2 linked regions of the Struthio camelus genome follow. The protein of the gene in region 2 purifies or fractionates together with the protein of the main gene of each other region. This does not show direct contact. Links are inferred from orthologs where the notes say so. Each region holds a gene or a part of one and is shown on either strand. Other genes may lie near its edges.

Region 1 (9,151 bases), on a different chromosome or scaffold from region 2:
CCCAAGTAACTTTCCTGATAAGCAAACTTAAAGAATTACTTCCCTGGGCGAGAGGAGGGGAGAAAAAAAAAAAAAAAACCACCCCGGGCGTCTCCGCGCCGCGGCCGCGGCCGCCCCGCCCCGACAAGATGGCGCCAGCCCCGCCCCGACAAGATGGCGCCGGCGCCAGCCCCGCCCCGCCCCGCCGCGGCGCTGCGCTGCGCTGCGCGCGGCCGTCGTGCGCCGGAAGCGGCGGCAGCGGCGGCGCTGAGGCGGAAGCGGCCGTTGTCCGGGGAGACGCAGCGCGGCCGGGCGCCGGGAGGGCCGCGGCGCGGCGGGGATGTGGCGGCTGGCGCTGACGCTGGCCTGGCTGAGCGGCGCCGTCCCTGTAGGTGAGGCCGGAGCGGGGGGCGGTGGGCAGCGGTTCGGGGCCGATCCCGGTCCCGCTCCTGCTGCTGGGAGGTGGAAGCGGCGGCCGTGGCCTGCCCGGCTCCGTCTCTGACGCCTCTCTCCCGCCGCAGGAGGCGCGGCGGAGCCGGGCGGCCGCTCTCCGCCGCGCCACGCCGAGGGAGGCTCGCCGCCGGGGGGCGGCCGGCCGGCGCAGTACCGGACGGCGGAGATGGCCGACGCGATGCTGGGCAGCGGGCTTCCCGCCGAGCAGCCCGGGCTGCTCTCGGTGCTCCCGGCGGAGCCGAGGGACGGGCCCGCTCCCGCCGCGGCCAGCGGCGCTTGCGAGGCTGCGGCCGGCGGTGGGGAGTGCGGCGGCCCCGCGGCCCCCTCGGCTCAGCCTGGCGCCCAGGGCCGCGAGCTGGCGGCGGGCTCCCCGGTCGTGCTGGAGACTGTGCTGCCCGCGCCGGCCGAGGAGCCCAACGGCACCGAGGGCGCGAAAACGCCCAAAGTGAACTGCGAGGAGAGAAACGTCACCGGCGTGGAAAACTTCACGCTGCAAATCCTGAACGTTTCTCAAGTAAGCAAGCCGCTCGGTGCCCCGCTTCGTGCCGCTTTGAGCGGCGGTGGTGAAAGATGCGATGTCCGTGCGCTGCGTAGGTGTCTTTTGCGCTTCGACTTACTGAATTGCTTTGTGTGAAGTTCTGTGCGTTTAATGATTGTCTGAGCAAGAAGGCTTTTCAGTCTTTCTGAACAGAAATATTGGAGGTGCAGCTCAGTCCGCATGCCTGTGCGTGTGTCTGCCACGTGTGTGCCCGTAGTGAATTGTCAGCTTGCACGGTGGGCAGGTTGGTGTCTCTCTGAAGTTATTAACGACGCTTATTCCTAGTGATAGTGTCTACTTCCGTTTTATTTCTTATAACGGAGAGAATTTTAATTTTAAAAAAGCATTAAGTATGCAGCTACTTGAGAAATGCTGTCAACTCTAACTGCTTGCTGAATGATCCCTTCTGTTGTGCAAGAACTCTTAAATGTTTAATTGTTTGTGTCTGTGTTTGTTCTGCTTTCTCTAAGGATCTGATGGAGTTCTTAAACCCAAACAGCAGTGACTGTACGTTAGTGTTGTTCTACACACCGTGGTGCCGCTTCTCTGCCAGTCTAGCACCTCATTTTAATTCCTTACCTCGAGCATTTCCAACTCTTCGCTTCCTAGCCTTGGATGCATCTCAGCATAGCAGGTAATTCAGGCTTTCTATGCTCTCTTCTCAGTTTATTTCCAATAGCAAGTTTTGAATTTTAAAAACAGGAGTGATTTTTTTCTGAAGCTGTTTAATATAAATGGTTATTTGCCTATTTTATTTTTGGCTGTGCTGTTAGCATGTTTTTAGCACTTGACAATTTTACCGTAAACGTGCAAGAAACATATTACTATCTCAGTAGGTATAATTAAATTGATAACTGTGTTCTGCTAATTCATTTTGGGACTTCATTAGTCAGAAGAGTGTTACGTATCCTCCACACTCCAGTATATCCTCAAATAACAAGGCTAAGACCCATACAATACATGTGTTTATGGTGAAATGACATGCTGATCCAGTGCTAAATCTTGCGTTGTTGACTAATTCAGCAGTAAAGCGTTTCCCTAATACCACAAGAAGGTGGTTGTATGTTGTTTGTTATAAAGTGACAAATTATAATAATAAAATTGTTATTGCCTTTATTGTGATCTCTTATTTCTTTCTTCAGTGGATTTATTTTCCCTCATATCTTATGTTTGCTTTGTGTCCATCAGTTTATCAACTAGATTTGGAACTGTGGCTGTACCCAATATCCTCCTTTTCCAAGGTGCTAAACCTATGGCTAGATTTAATCATACGGAGAGAACACTGGAAACACTGAAAGACTTCATTTTTAATCAAACAGGTATGTAAGTCAGCTCTGATGAAGAACAGGAATAGAAAGAACAGGATTACCTCTTAGCTCCAAACTGAGCTTTTCTCTCCCTATTCTTTCTTATTTTAAATAAGTTTCGTGAAGGCCCTGAGGGGACCACCTGCAGCAGAGGTTCATTTAATCGCTTGCTTTAGTGAGTTGGATTTCAGGGCATGCTAAAAGCAGACACTCAACACACTGCTGGAGGAGACAAAAGGATGATCTGTCTGTCCTCACTGTGAGCTCACAGTCAGACAGCTTTCTGGGCTTTCTGTGGTGTATTCTCCTGGGGGGGGGGGGGGGGAAGTATCTGGGCCAATGACGGCCTTCATTAGAGGCCAGGAATTGTTATATTTGCTAATGTAGCAAAAATACCAACCCCTTCCCCTCACCTCCTTAAAAGAGCTTGTGCTGCGGAAGAACAGAATGAACCTTTTCCAGTATCACAGTGTTAAGAAAATACACGTATACGTTGATAGGCTTTTAATTCCACATGAGTAAACTATATGGTAGACACCTTAAAATATAAGGACTATCTCACCAAAATTCTAAGTCTAGCTGTGCATGCACCTTAATTTGAGAACAGGAAAAAGTTCCAACTTATTTGTATTAAGTAATTATTATTGATGTTGATTAAGTGATTCTCTTTTCAGGAATAGAAGCTAAAAGGGATGTGGCTGTGACTGAGGAAGACTGGGAAGGCCCTCTGCCTAGTGTTCTGACAAAAGGAATAGATTGGCTGCTCCTGTTCTCTTTGCTCTTTCTGGCTAGCTTTATTATGTACGCTACTATTCGAACTGAGAGCATTCGGTGGCTAATCCCAGGACAAGAGCATGAACATCAAGAATAATTTGAGATGCTGAAACAGGGACAGGATTTCTTGCTTATTTGTAAAGCAGGAATTTGTATGGACTAAAAGTATGAATGTTCAAATATTCATATTCAAATGAACTGTTGAATTTGTTGGTTGTAATTTATAATCTTGACTGAAAATCTGCTTTTTTATCAACTACTGAATTTGTAAAAGGCAAACACATGATGGTTAACATGGTAAGTAAACAAATATGAAAAGATATTAACTAAAAATGTATTTATTACACTGCTAATTTGCTTATTTTTAATGTACCTTAATGTAAATGTGATACAGTTCTACTTTGCTCTTAAGAGAGGTCCCTGTGCTTTGTAGATCAATTAAGAGTTCTACAGCGTATTTGCTTGTATATGTGGCATTGCTTGGCAGAGGAGTAGAGCTGCTTCCATTCAGATGGAATCTGGGAATCTTCTTTTGTAAAACCCACAATTTCTGTATGGATGACGCAGTATATACAATGGAGTTGGGATGTGTTGACCCACGCAGATCATACTCATTTTCTGGCTTAGGTATCCCTGAAATAGTAAAGTGTTAAGGGATACGTTAGTCCAGGGTGGTGGTACTAAATTAGTTTGATTGTCGGGAAAATGAAGAAAAAGGTGCTTTAAAAATGAGCGTACGTTGAATGATTTCATTGTCTAAAAAGACAGTATGTATTTGCTTTGCGCTTCTGGAGGCGGTCATACCAGCAATAATAAAAACTTAAAAACTTGTACGATTCAAGTCAGGATGACTATTTCCCACCTTTGGTATTGAGATTAGATGCTGTTTATCTTGTTTACTCTGGTCCGTGAGTTCTGAGTAACAGTTGGACTTGCGACGGTGATTCTTCATGAGATTTAGAATAACTTCTAAAGCTCAAGCCGTTGTGTATATGTGTGGGAGTGGGGGTGTATAACGTATATAGCACTTTCATATGGAATTAAATTGCATTTGTGAGCTTTACCTTTAATGAATTGGGTTTTTAGCCTAACTTTTAAGTCGCTTGCTCACAAGACTACAAACGCAGCTTTTGAAGTATGGATCACCAACCTGAATTAGTGAGACTAGTTTTCAGATTTATTTGCATTTATGCTAACATGTTTGCTTGGTTGGAAAGTCTGCAGCTGAGACTACATAAAGAATTGATCCAGCTTTTAGTGGTCACTAATATGGAAGACCTTGACGAAGGTACAGTCTGCTATATTGCATGTTTTTTTTGATTATTTGATGGCATAGCATTTATGTGTGTAGCGCAGGCTTGCTCTAAAACCCTGGTATGAAGCTTTACAGTGGAAATTGAACCAAGAAGGAACAAGTACAGTGGTAAGCTGTGTTGCTTAACAGAGGACTCCTATTCCTACAAAATAGTTCTTTTGTTGTTGTTTTCCATAACTTTCCAGAGAAGGAAGGGTCAGTTCCTTTACTTGTGTGTGTTAAATGGCAACTGCACTGATAAAACTTAGATATTATTGAGGATAAAGTTAGAAAGTGTTCTTTTTAGTAAGACTCCAGATTTTGAGGGATGAACTGGAGAGCTCTTTCCTCTTAGCATCCCTGTGGCTTCAGAGGCGCAAGGGTGGGTTCTCCCCGCCACTTATCTCCCTCGATACCTACAAAGAACGAGTGAGGCCTTTAAAAAGAAAATCCTGCCGCCTCCGCTGTGAGAAGTGACTGTTTCAGCGCCGTCCTTGCGGAACCGAAAGCGGATTTCCTTGGACGAGCGGCAAGCGAAGCCCCGCAGACCGGCCCGGAGCGGGGGTGGCGAGACCCGCGCTCGCTCGCGGAGGCGCCGCCTCGCCTGCGCCCTGGCCGGTGGCGGCGGGGGGGGGCGCGGGCTCCGCCCGGGGGCGGGGCGGGGCGGGGCGGGGCGGGGGCGCCGCCATGCCGGGCTGCGGCGGCGCCGGGCTGCGGCGGGCGCTGCTGGGAGCGCGGCGGGCGGCGGCGGCGGGCGGCGGCCGCGCCGCCATGGTGAGGCGCCTCGGGCGGGAGGGGGCCGCGGGCGGGGCGGGGGCGCCGGGCTCCGGGGCGGGGGGCGCCGCCGCGCCGGGCGGATCCGCGTCTGAGCTGGGCTTTATCTCGGCGAACGAGCCCCCCCCTCCACCCGCAAGCTGTGCGTTTCAGCAGAAAAATTCCAATTTGTCCTTTTTTATTGTTATTTTTTACACCCAGCAATAACTACTTGCGTATGCCAGTTTAGGCCGCTGCCCCTCAAACGCCCCATATCCTGTGCTAACCTCTCAGCAACTAACTTCATTTTTTCGTTCTCTGCTCCCCGAGCCCCTTTCAGGTGAACGTTACCCGTCGGAGCCGTGGGGCGGGTGCCCGGTGGGCCGCGGCCGCCGTCCCTGCCGCCCGGCTGCGCTCCCCGACCTGGTCGGCTATGCTCCGTTACGCGGCCCCTACGGAGGCGTTACCCTGAAAACGCACGTGGCACCTCATACTTTCTTTTTCTTCTTTTAATTGACGTTACTTCCTACTGCGTTTGCTGAAATCTCCGAACGTGGTTGTGACGCGCTTGAGGGAGTAACGCGGAGCACGGCCTTCGCGGTTTACGCCTAACCGAGGTGCTGTGCTTGCTGTGCCCCCGGTCCTGTGTCAGACTCCGTCCTCGCGTTTACGCGAAGGAACGTGTGATCTAACTGGAAGTCACGGCGTTGTCCCTGTGGCTTCTGTGGCCGAAATAAGGCCTCAGGAAGGCAACTGAAGCGTGTTTAAAACTAACCAAACAACATCTCTGCTGACAACCGGGAGAACGAACTTTGTACTGACTCCTGGTCCAAATCCTGGGCTCTGCTGTCTAAACCAAAACCGCCCAGAGCTTTCGTAAATCATCCTACTCGTTTCGCCTCTTGGCGGATAAAATAATAAATGTGAGGGCTGCTGTTAACTGTGGCAGTATTTGCACGTGACTGGGGAAAAGGCGAAAAGAAATTCAAACCCACAAGGTGTTGTCGTAGCAAACTAGCCGGTGAACAGCTGCTTCTTTATTCTTGCACATCGCGAGTTTTATTCTGAAGAGCAGCCGTCCTAAATTAGTTCGGTGTGGGGACTGTAAAGCCCACGTGCTAGAGCGATATATATCCTATTGAACCCGAACAATTGTAGCGACGCTGTTGGAGTGACTTCAGACTGCTTTTATTTATTTATTTATTTTTTTTTGGGTCCCTTATTACTGGTGAAAATTTTGCCTCTTGGACATCACCGAGGCCTCGGCAGGTCGCTCCTCAGCGATGCCTGCGCCTTTGCTGTTGTCCTCTCAGGGGCGAACACCTGGTGGTGAAGAGCAGCCTCAAAGGCCTGGCCTCGGCCAGCACCGGGAGCAGGAGCTTGCGCTCTGGTTTGGCACGCAGCACCACCTGGTGGCAGAGGGATGGCAGCAAAGCCGCGGCCGCAGACCTGCCTGCGCATCGCGCTGCCTGCTCGGAAACGCTCGTTGTACGCCTTCGCGCTGTCGAATGAGTCTGTAAGTGCAGGGCACAAGAAAGTGGCTGGAGGTTAAAGACTGGCACTCCTGTAAGGAAATAACTGCGCGTGTAACTGCCAAAAAAAAAAAAAAAAAGCAAAAAAAAAAAAACTTTCAACGGAAGAGCTTTGCTTTTAGATACTTGCAGACCTTCAGCGCGTTATTTGAAGTCCTGGTGCAAAGTTGCTCAGCGGCTTTCAGTAAGGTTTCACCTAATTGTGATAGCCTACGAATATTTATAAAGGCTAAAGCAAACTGAATTTTGCTCTACTGGGGAGAAAACTTCTTCCTGTTAAATTATTGCATTTATAAAGTGAATTTGAGACCAGTCTGTTAGAATAGACAGTCTGTAATTAGTCACTCATACATTTAATCTCAGTTTCTAGGAAAAATATCAAACCTCTTCCAAATAACCTGTAGACCTTTCTGTCTTCAGGCCTACTTTTTTAAGCACCGATTTAGATATTTAAGCAGGTAGTGTAATCCGTTAAGTCTGTGCTCCCATTGGGTTTAGAAGGACTCATTTTGCTGAAAATTGGACATATGTTTAAGTGCTTTGTAGACTCAAGTGCTTGTATCAACAACTTCTGACTGCATGTGTTTGTATATTCATTTTTTTTTTGTTTTGTCAGTGAAAAAAACCTTTCTATTGCTTTTAGACTTCTGTAATGCTTGCTATTTGTAAATCTATTCTTAATTCCTTAGGAAGAGTAAAATACAAGTTACCTGTAGTACAATCTCATTTTATATGCTGTTTCTCTGTTTCAAAATACAGATATTTCCCTGATATATCTCTTCTAGCCTCATGTAATTGTACATTTAGTGCATAATATATGCAATCTCTTAACTACATGCATTTTGCTATGTATGGAAATGAATTCAAGTGTCATAGCATCTGGATAAATCAGATGAACAAAGTATAGGATACAAGTATGCTGGTGTCCATGTTTGGTCTCATAAAAGAGTCTATCACTCCTCTATAACGCTATGTGAAAACATATAGCCAAACTTAATGGACCAAACAGAAACGATGTTTCTTGGTGGTTTTGAGTAATGTGAATTATGCTGATCTGTGAAATTCTAAAAAGTAACAAACCATATAGTGAATTTTCCACCTCTTGTTTCTTGAACTTTTACATTTCTACAATACATAACAATACAATACATGTGGTTTTCTTCTTGTTGTATAAAAGAGAACCTCAGCCTCACTTGTGGAATGTTTCTTTTTTTTTCTTCTTTTTCCCCTTAATAGTCTTCGCAGTCTCACTGGTTGACAACAGAGGAAAGGAACCAAGTTTTACTTGATCTTAAAGCTTCAGGCTGGTCTGAGTTAGGTGAAAGAGATGCCATCTACAAAGAGTTCAATTTCAAAAATTTTAATCAGGTAATTATTGTTATATACCACTTTTAATATAAAGGAAGCGTAAGTACTTTAATTTCCATATGATCCTGATGGGAAACTATCTATATTCAGAAATTTGGGAGCGTCCTTTTGAGGCCAAACACTGTTGGACTTGCTTATGTGGATTGTTCTCTGATTCTGATCTCATTAGGTGGAGTAAATAATTCCAATGCTGTAGCTGTATGGTAGGTTTATTGTAATACTACAGTTTCTTAATTGTAATATTGGGGTCAAGGTGGGGGTCGGTACTATGGGATTAGACAAATAATATTTGATCTTGTTGGTTTTTTTAATAGCACTCCTGAATTAATGGTAGAAATACTTAGCTGTTGGATGGCATGGTTCATTTTTGTCTGGGAAGAGCTTGAAAAAGATGAGTAAATGTAAGAATAGAAACTTTTGGGAAATAAGGGGGGGAAAGTATGATAAGCTTCACCTCCTAAACAGGAAGGCAGAGTTCTGATACGTTTCTGAATGAATTGCAACAGCTAATCTTGCGCTGTCTTTGGTACAGTGGATTATTGGTTAGGCCTCGTTAGGTTTATATTTGTAGTCGGAACCCTGAGCCATAATACAAACTCTCAAGAACATGTCTTGGAAACCAGTTGCAAGCTTGCTTTGAAAATATTGACGTTTTCTCGAGACTTACGGTCAGCTACGTCCTAGTTAGTTAAATATTTATTTCCAAGAAAGCTGGACTTCTGATGAGTCAAGAGACTACTTGAAAAAGTCATGTCTCAAGAACTAGAGTTAACCGTAATGAATGTCTCTATTTTATTGCAAGGCTCTGAATTTGTGAGTTTGTGTAGAAAAATGCCCTGTTAATTTCCCAAAACTAAAACTAAGAATAATATTTATTTACACCTTTCATATAGCTAGTCTATATAGCATGTTTAGATTCAGATTTAAGGTCATGTTGCCAAAAGGTGAACGTTTATACCATGTGGTTGCCATCTCAATTGTATCTGAGCGCTATCCTCTTTTGAAAGTTTGCTCTAGTGTGTGTTAATTCTGCTGTTGCTCTTCCAGTCATTCTGTTACTTCAGGCGTTTTTGGATTTTCTGTTCTGGCCAAATAACAGTGAATTGTGAATTAGTGAATGCTAATGATCACTTTTCTTGGGGAGGAGGGGAGC
Region 2 (9,084 bases):
AAAAGCACTCGCTACAAAAAGCCCTCACCTCTGAAGAGCTTAAATGTCATTAGAGGACGTTTTAGCTAACCATGTCTTGATTCATCAAGCAGGCCGATGGAAAGAACCGCAGCAGCTTCATGCGGAGACTGCACCTTTTGGGAAGGGACATGACAGGTAGAGTTGTCAACCCTGCTTGGGTTTGGGAGGAACACGTAGCATGGAAACGAGCAGAAGGGGACGGCAGAAGTCAGAGATTCAGTTTGGCAGTGCAGCTCAGAGCTGCGCTCGGCTGTTCTGCTTGTAAGATCCTAGTAGGATTCCCCTTGCTAAAAAGAAAGCATGTGCTGACCGGTACGTGTCACACGATTCTCTTCACCACCACCTAGTGGGAAACTCCTTCATTACCCGAGCTCCAGCACTGCCCTCGCTCTCCAGCCTCATCCTCACCCTGGTGACGGAGAGTAAGCGAAGGAGGGACAGATGGATGAATGAGGAGGACAGAGTCCTGCTTCCCATAGAGGAAGAGTGCAGAGATAATATTGGTAATACCTAGAGATTACAGCCTATAATTTGTCCCCCTAAGCTGCAGCCAGTGCAGTCCCTAATGTTTGTTAGGCCTTAGCCCCATTCCCTGGGGAGACTTGCAAAGTGCCCTCTGCGCAGATGAGCATGTGAAACGTTTGTTCTTCTGGATGCAACTCTCCTTACTGCTCTTTGCAGGGTGCCAAGTTGGGAAGGTGCTCTAGCATCTAAATCAAAAGATAGCCTTGCTCTCTTCTTGCCTCTCTTTCGATAGTCCTAAGGTTGGTTATTCTGTTGAGAACGGGAGAAGGCTACCAACTAAAAATGCTTTGCTCCTCTGTAAAGACATATTTACTATTATAATCACGTATTTACAACAAGGACTACTACATGAAAGTGTTAAATGGGTATGTATTAGGAGTAGTCGAATCACATATTCAAGGGAGTCCTTCCCTGCTGCGATACTCGAGGTTCACACAAACAGCTGAAATCCAACCCTATGAAAACAACATACCAATGACAATTATCTGGGATTTTTCACTCTCCTGCATGCCACTTGGGGCCAAGCTCCCAGGGCACAAATAATAATCGGTTTTGGCACTTGTGTAGCTTTCTTTTCCTCAATCACAGAAATAGGGATGAACACAACGATAACAATAATTCTCACATTTCAAGGAGGGGATGATAGTAATGTCTTTCAGGCCAATAAAGCATTTGGCAGTCTCAGCTGGAGGAACCATAAAATGGCAAAGAATTATTAAAGGAACCACTTCTAAATACTTCTTTGGCCAATGGCAGTTTTATCACTGTATTCATGGAACTATACAGGCTCCCTCTGCTAGCAATTTTACTATAAAAATATTTAGTTTTTTTCTTTCTCTGCATGCTCCTTGAGGTCATGGCATTAGGCTTTATCCCAGTCAATCACTGTATTTTTCACTGTGTATACTTGATGGTGGATATAATTTAACAAATTAAAACACTGAAGATAACAATTGTATTGATACAAGAGTCAGGCTCTGGGAACCTCTAATCCACCTGCACTTCTGTTCACGTTACTCTGCTGCGCAACTATTTCACTTGGTTTGGCTTTCCTGTAATAAGCAGAATGCAGACCAATAGGTCTAAAATAAGAATAAAGTTCCTATTATATACCCATTTATACTTTCATGGAGTAGTCCTCATTATTTATTAATCCACAGTTCAACTACCTTATTACATGTTCTTGGGAGAAGGCAATCCATTGGAACAGTTTATCAAGGCAGACTATTATTTATCAATGAAGTAGAATGAAACAGGAAGAGAAGCCGTCCTTGCCTGGAAGCCTATTGGAGAATGCCAGCAACCCCGTTCTGTGATGCAGCTGTCACACAGTGTTACCAGACCGCCTACTACTTGAAGGGAAGAAACTTATAAAAATAAAACAAACAGACAATGTATTAAAGCGTAGGTAGGACAATGCAGATTATTTGAACATGTTTAAAGAATCTTTATTAAGCATGCCATTAAAATAAAAAACCTACAGAGCTCAGAATCCTCAGGTGTGATTATGATTACTAACCGATAGATTTCTCCAATCGGCATCCAGACCATTCTGTTAATATAACATTTTTCTTGAGCTTTCTATTAAGCTTACCAGTTTATTGTTGTAAAGCTGCTCGTGTCTTGTTACTGAAGTATTGTTTGAAGGATCTCGACCACCATATTAGTTATGCTTAATGAAAAATAAGTTTGCAGGAGGAAAAAATAATACAAAACCAGATACTGCAGACAAACATGAGAAAAGGCAGGTATCACTCGGGGCCTTCATACTTCAAAAACTACCTCTCCCTTACAGTTACCAGCATCATGTTATTCCGGGTGACTCGAGAATCAAGATATGCCCCAGTAAATTTTTGCAAGTAAGAAAATCAACAAAGCAAGTACAAAAAACAACAAAATCAACTGATATAGAATGCAAATGGGTATAGCAAAGCCAAATCCTTTTCTTTCAACTATTCCTTCTCAAGGCAAAATCCATGAGGCACAATTTAGATATAGGAATATATTGTTTGGATTATGGTACTCTACAATTTAGCTCTTGCTCTACTACTAGAACTATAATCTAGCTGGTTAAAGCTTTGCAGCTTCCACTCTTGACCTCTGCTATCCTTATTACCTCTCAGCAGGATATTGTGGCAGTTGTAATAATCTGAGAAACCCGAGCTTGCAGTCCTCAGTGTCAATATATAGAAAAGGGGTGCTGGTTAACCCATAGCAACAGTTTCCGTCCTACCTCCCACTTGTTCATTCTGACAGTTTAGCAATTTGTAACATCTGAGAAACACTGAAAAGCTCACTGGTTTCCTTGCACTGAAGAATCTGAATTAGATCCTTGATGGAGTGCTGAATCATTTGCTAGCATATCTGGTTTGGCAGGTTACAGTGAATGTAAAAATGACAGTGTAGACATTTTTAAGGAAAGTTTTTACCTCTTCCTTGGTTGTCCAGGCTCTTGGAGTTTAAAATGGGCAACTCCAATAGATCAAGGGAAAAAGACCTTCAAGGATAGAGTGATGGAGAAATTTACCTCTTCCTCAGTATTTGAAAGGTTTCCACGTTAAACGCAGGATTCCTCATGTGGTATCCAGTTGTAGCATCCTGTAGGTCCTAACAAACAGGCAGATGTTCATTTTTGGTTTTATAGCCTTTGAAGTTCATTGGTTTCAAGAGAGGCTGTTTTAAAAGCTTCAGCAGCTGAAGGCCTCCGGGGCAAGCAGAACCAAGAGGGAAGGGGCTTCTGGTACACGAGGAATCCTTAAAACCACATGATAAATACAGATAATTTCTTGATATATTTTTTTTCCTTCTTTACAGTTTCCCCAACAAATACTGCTGTTCTTTGTCTAAACTTCAGGATTTTTTTCCTGCAAGTGTGCAACAGAAGTATATATTCACAGAAAATAGACTGGACAGTCTATAAATAAAAACAATGTTAGCATTTTCCATCCCCTCTAGTTTAGGTAAACAAAATCACTGTGCACAAAGGCAGAAGTAAGTAACAAGACATGGCAGCATCTTCCCTGCCACATATTGCAGCGAGCTCACAATCTGTTGTCTCTGCATGCAAAATCCTTGAATTACAAGGATGCATCATGCTGAAACCATACATCATGGTTGGGTACTGTCATTACAATTGGTAATTACTGTTACCAGCCAGCACTGTTAGACTGTCTACTGGGGGGAGAGGGGGGGGGCGGGATGAGGAAAATTGTAATCAAAAATAAAATGTACAGAAATTGTATCCAAATATTGCTAGGACAATGCCAAAAAAGCTGAACATTTTTAAATGCTCTTTACTAAACCTGCTATGAACATAGTGAAGTATTTAGAAACTAAAGATCTTATTTTACATTAAATATTTTCACACGGACTCTGAATTGGTACTCCTTTTTAGGCAGACGGAGGGAGTCTGCTGGAGCCCCGTCTGAGCCTTTTCAGCTTCCAGCAGTGAGGGGAGCTGGCACTCGGGGGGCAGACGCCTCTGAAACGAAGGCCAACAGTTAGCAGCAGTCCTGGCTGCGGGGTCAGCCCAGCAGCAGCTTGCTGCGACTGCAGGGAGGAGGGCGCCAACCTGCCAAGGAGCTCAGCCCCTCCGTGCTGAGCCTGGCGAGCACGGCTCCCGCTGCCCGCGAAGGGAAAACCGGCCAAGGTCGCTCTGCAGCAGCGTCTTGGCCAGTGCTCAGTCTGGGGCCATCCTATGGGGATGGCTAAGCTCCTCTTAGCTTGGGCCTGATGGCAGTATATAAAAGTAGACCAGTAGTTGCTCCTAGGAAACCTCTGTTAAAACAACAGTTTTAAACCCTTCTCCCATCGATCACACAAGAAGAAATCATTCACACGAGACCCTTACACACCATCAAGCCCACACTTGCATACTAAGTTATTCCCTAGCCCCTTGAAGTAAACAGATGCATTCATATATTTGCAGATGAGAAAAGACCACCAGTCATCGCGGCCTCCCGACAACTCCAAGCAACGCCAGCCAAGCTGGCTAGGGTGTTTTAGAAAGTCACCCAAAAGGTGGGGGGTAGAACCAGAAAGCACAGCCGGCATCAAGAGGGGATGGAGGTAGATGCTAAACGGGAACCACCAGCCTGTCCAGGGCACTTCTCCAGAGAAGCAGAGCAATCGGAGATAGGGCAGGGACTTTCGGTGTGAACCAACACCCAGGGCTGCTCCTTATCGTGTGCTTGAATCATCAGCTCAACGGGGCAAGTCATGTAATCCCCCAAATTATGTGGGTACGCTCATCAATTAAACAATACATACAGCAAGTTATAAAGGAGGTACCAGTATTTGCATATCAAGGTACTCCAGCAAGCCAAAGCCAGAAGTGAAAAAGTCATTTAACACTCAATGCTGTGCCGTAGAAGTCAGCTGGAGCTCCACAACACGCCGTGAGTCTTGGGAACTTCCCTGTAAACCCAGCAGTTGCACTGGTCGGCCGGGGGGGTGGGCAAAGGCGAGCGAGGCTGCCGACGCAGCCGTCTCCCAGGGCCAACGCCTTGGCAGGGGCTGGTTGAACCTCTCTGCTGCTGGAGCTCTGCGTGGGCTCCACAACCTCCCACCAGCAGCACCTTCTCCTGCACAGGCACCGCCAAACCCACCCCTTGCTTTTGGCTACTCCGCCTCCTTCCTTCTCCAAAACTAATGGGGCCAGAAATGAGCCATGTTTTTTCCCCGTTTTCATTTCCCTACTTTTCTTTCCGTATCTTTTTCTTTTCCATGCTGGCAGACCTTCTACCCCTCCGTTTTCCTCTCCTTCCCTCCCTTTCCCCCTCCCCCTGCTTTCTCTCCCTCTGCACTTTGTGAACTGCTGCTGCCGTGCTGAAGTCCAAAGTTCAGTAACTTGCTAAGCACACAGATAAATATGAACCTTGGAGAATTTACATTGCTCCAATGTAAACAGATAGCCAAGGGTCCCTTTATCAGCACCGGCTCAGGACAGTCGTGGGGGGTCTGAAGTGGCTCAATTTTGTATTTTGTTTTTTTGGGGGGGGGGGGCGTAAAGGCGGGAGGCTGCGCTGTGCCCACTCTGCCGACAGTCAGGCGCGTTACCTCGGGAACATGGTGTAGGGAAGCTGGAGGCAGGATAAGCTGAAATTCAAACCCAAGAGGCACGAGGCTGAAGACCATGGTCTCGAAGCTGAGTCACCTTCAAGTGGAGCTGCTAGGAGCGCTGCTGGAGTCGGGGCTGACCAAGGAGACCTTGATCAAGGCGCTGAGCGAAGCGGAGCCCTACGTCCTCCAGAGCGAGAGCCAGCGCGCCATCCATGCCCTCCAGACAGAGAAAGGGGACTCGTGCCCCGAAATCCCCGCTCTCCCCAACGGCCTGGGGGAGGCCAGGTTATCGGAAGATGAAACCTCTGATGATGGGGAGGAATTTACCCCTCCGATAATGAAGGAGCTGGAGAACCTGAGCCCTGAGGAGGCTGCTCACCAGAAGGCTGTGGTGGAGAGACTATTACAGTAAGGACACGTTTGCTGCTCCTCTTTGCTGCTCTTTCTTGTATTCTCTCCCTCCAAATCTCTTTCCTTTCCCCTTCCTTTCTTCCTACCAGCGTCCCTGGTATTCACAGCTGATCTAACCGCACAGAGACTGTCTTCATCCATGCCAGGACTAGCAGCCCCCCAAATTCTTTGCAGATGCTCAAACTTGTCTTTTGATCACACTTCCAATGCGTAAAGGGAGCTATGGAGCCTGATTGCACATTAGAAGTGCTCGTATCATCAGGAAACGGGCGTCAGAGCACTCCGAGGCCTGGACACCCTGCATCTCTCTGACTAAACGTTAATTTTTATAGGAGTCACAGATTCTGTCATCAAGGGAGAAAAAAATAAAAATAAAAGCAGCCCATAAAAATCTGGTCTCTGTTAACTGGCCTCGCAGTAGTCTTAGAAATTATGGTAGAGAGTTTTAGTTTTTCCTGCTATTTTTAAGGAGGTTAAAATTTTTTTTACTGGCTTTTCCTATAGATGTTATTTGTCAAAGATAAACCAAGAGAGCTTGTTCCTGTCTTTCGTGCATGTGCGAAATTCTCCTGACTTCACTGGGGATTTTTCTTGTAGAAAGAGCAGAAACCAAATATACGCAGAGGTTAGAAAGAACTCGCTATGCTCCTACCCTCCGCCGTCTGCCGTAACTACAGAGCACACATAGGAACAGTTACAGGTTTTACTGCCACAGAAATTTGCCTTTGCATGCAAGCATTAAGTCAAAAGACAGGAAGAATCCCCTAAACCAGCGAGTCTCATGACAGGCCCAGAGAAACATTCACCAGGACTCACGTTTGGGATTCTTACTGGGGTGCAAGCCCTAATAACCACCCTCAGAGGTTTGTCCAGGCGAGGATCAGGTCCTTCAAAGCCATCTAGCCCAACAGCAGCAGAATACTGCCCCTCCGTTTTGGAGGTACTCTGAAACCACAAGCTGTTGGGAGACACGAGATGCAGCACCGTCCTGCATTTCAAATCTTCACTAAAACTAAAATCCAGTTAGAGAATTTGTTGGGCCTTCTGATTAATCCTCTTCACGGTTAAAGGGAATTAACAAAGTGCAACAATAAGAGGCAAACATCAAATCCCACTACAAAAGGCCAGAGCTAGAAAAACAGCATGACAGGCGTTAACATTCGCTGTAAATATTTAAGAGAAGAGCAGCTGGGAGCTGATGTCTATGCAGTTCTCAATGGAAGAAAATTCACAGGATCAGCTCTTACCTGGGAGGGGAAACATTCCCAATAATTCAATCTTCTTTTTGGCCCCAAAAGTCTGCCTCTCTTTTCTTCCCCCCCCCCCCCCCAGCTCTGCTACATCTCCTCTTCCCCGTACTGTTGCTCTCCCATTCTCTTTACCTGTTCCCTTTTTCTCCTCACTTTTGTCTCTGCCACTAGTCCTCCCATTTTGATGTCTTCCTGGCTAATTCTCTCTCACATCCTTCCTCACTCTTTTCCTTCCCCTCATCCTTGTCTCCTTCTCTTCTCCCTGAGTCTGCGTACAGGTCTTGGGGTAGTTTGAGCCCAGTGGCACCGGGCGGGCCCTGGCTAGTTACTAATTATCCAATGGCTTTATTATTTCTCTTTTGTCTTATAAATTTATAGATGAAAAGACCCTGATAAGCTTTTTGATCATTAACTTCTGATGGTTTATCAGGTATCTCTCCAGAAAGGCAGCCATGTAGGTGGAAGAGGAGCACCCGGCTTTGTCCCACTCTGTAATGAATGGGTGCAGCAGGGCTGAAGGGCCGCCTGCCGTAATCTGAGAGCAGACTCACAGACAGAAGGGGCTCCTTCCTGCCACCCTCGCTTCACCATGAATTCCAGTTTCTGATCCTCCCTGCCTTTCCAGGAGCTGGCTACCAGCCTCTCCTGTGCTTCCTACCAGTCTCAGCACAACACTCTTACCTACCTTGCGTGCCTGCAGTATTATTTATGCTTTCCAATCAATGGTCTCCCTTCTAGATGGCCAACTGAGCAGCATTCCCATTTTACAGAAATGGGAACTGAGGTACAGATTCTCTGACTCATCTAAAGACCCCTAGGACAGTGGCGAGAGGATTGGGCAAGAGCCAGGATCTCTTAAGCCTTGTACTGGGTCTTAACTGCAACACTTTGTTCTGAAACCTCAGGGCTTGCTTTCTTCAGTCCTCAATGTCACAGGATACATCAGTTCACTTCTGCTGTTCAGGGCAGTATAAAGGGAACCAGAAGCCACCCAGTTACAAGTGTCCTTATGGGGGGATATAATGGACCAAAACTATTTGAGGTGGAATGGAGAGAGTAGGAAGCCCATATTGACAGTCTTCATATTTCTGGTCAAAGACTTAAAAAAAAATCAACTGTATATCTGGGAAGTATATTCAAAGCATGTCAATACCAGGGTCTGATGGTACATAAACAGTAGCTACCAACTAATACATACTGGGTTTTTTTTGTTTTTTGTAAGAACAAACCTTTCCATTAACAAACACCTAAAGGTAACGTCCTTAAAATAGTGTTACAAATAAGCGTAGATACGGGAGAACAGTCTTTAACAGAAATTACTCCCAGCAGCAGATGAAAGGAAGGAAGGCAAAAAAAAAATGATCTCCAAGCACAACTTCAATGCTTGCAAAGCTGTTTCAGCATCTACACAAGCATTTCAAGTCTTTGAGAAACCAGATGGAGGCACTTTTACCTCTAAGCAGAAGCATTGCTGGGCACTATTAAAAAGTCCTGGACTAATACTGTAGACCACATTTTAGGAGAGGGATTGACTTTGGGCAGCTATTGGTGACACAAGAAAGTCTTTGTGGGTAGCTGCAGCCATTGCTCATATAGTAAAGTAGCATGAGAAGTGTCCATTGCTAGGCTTTCCAGGAGCGGGAAATTAAAAATGACAGCACCAAGAGACCAAATCTGTCCTCACAGGACCACTAAAGAGGGAGCCACAGTTTGGGAACTACTGAGCAACACTGAGCACGCCAGGATGTGGGCAAGGTACACCACCCACGCAGCGGGGTGCACCTGCAGGCATGTCACCTTCTGTCCTTTGCGGACA

The links.
Region 1: the proteins of HNF1A (region 2) and PCBD2 purify together in Homo sapiens (affinity purification with mass spectrometry; 4 studies listed by BioGRID and IntAct, with this or other methods). This does not show direct contact. The link is inferred for Struthio camelus from reciprocal best matches to the Homo sapiens genes HNF1A and PCBD2.

The regions. Positions count from the first base shown.
Region 1 is NC_090954.1:4,203,529-4,212,679, forward strand, and holds the start of PCBD2 (pterin-4-alpha-carbinolamine dehydratase 2), read left to right. Parts: upstream 1-5,043; 5' UTR 5,044-5,116; coding exon of another isoform or gene 5,117-5,119; intron 5,120-5,449; exon of another isoform or gene 5,450-5,752; intron 5,753-6,411; 5' UTR 6,412-6,521; coding exon 6,522-6,614; intron 6,615-7,866; coding exon 7,867-7,998; intron 7,999-9,151. Other genes in the region: TXNDC15 (thioredoxin domain-containing protein 15), read left to right, coding at 320-371, 501-946, 1,441-1,604, 2,159-2,289, 2,952-3,148.
Region 2 is NC_090958.1:8,142,941-8,152,024, forward strand, and holds the start of HNF1A (hepatocyte nuclear factor 1-alpha), read left to right. Parts: upstream 1-5,341; 5' UTR 5,342-5,680; coding exon 5,681-6,015; intron 6,016-7,265; exon of another isoform or gene 7,266-7,538; intron 7,539-9,084. UniProt on the Homo sapiens protein: Transcriptional activator that regulates the tissue specific expression of multiple genes, especially in pancreatic islet cells and in liver. Binds to the inverted palindrome 5'-GTTAATNATTAAC-3'.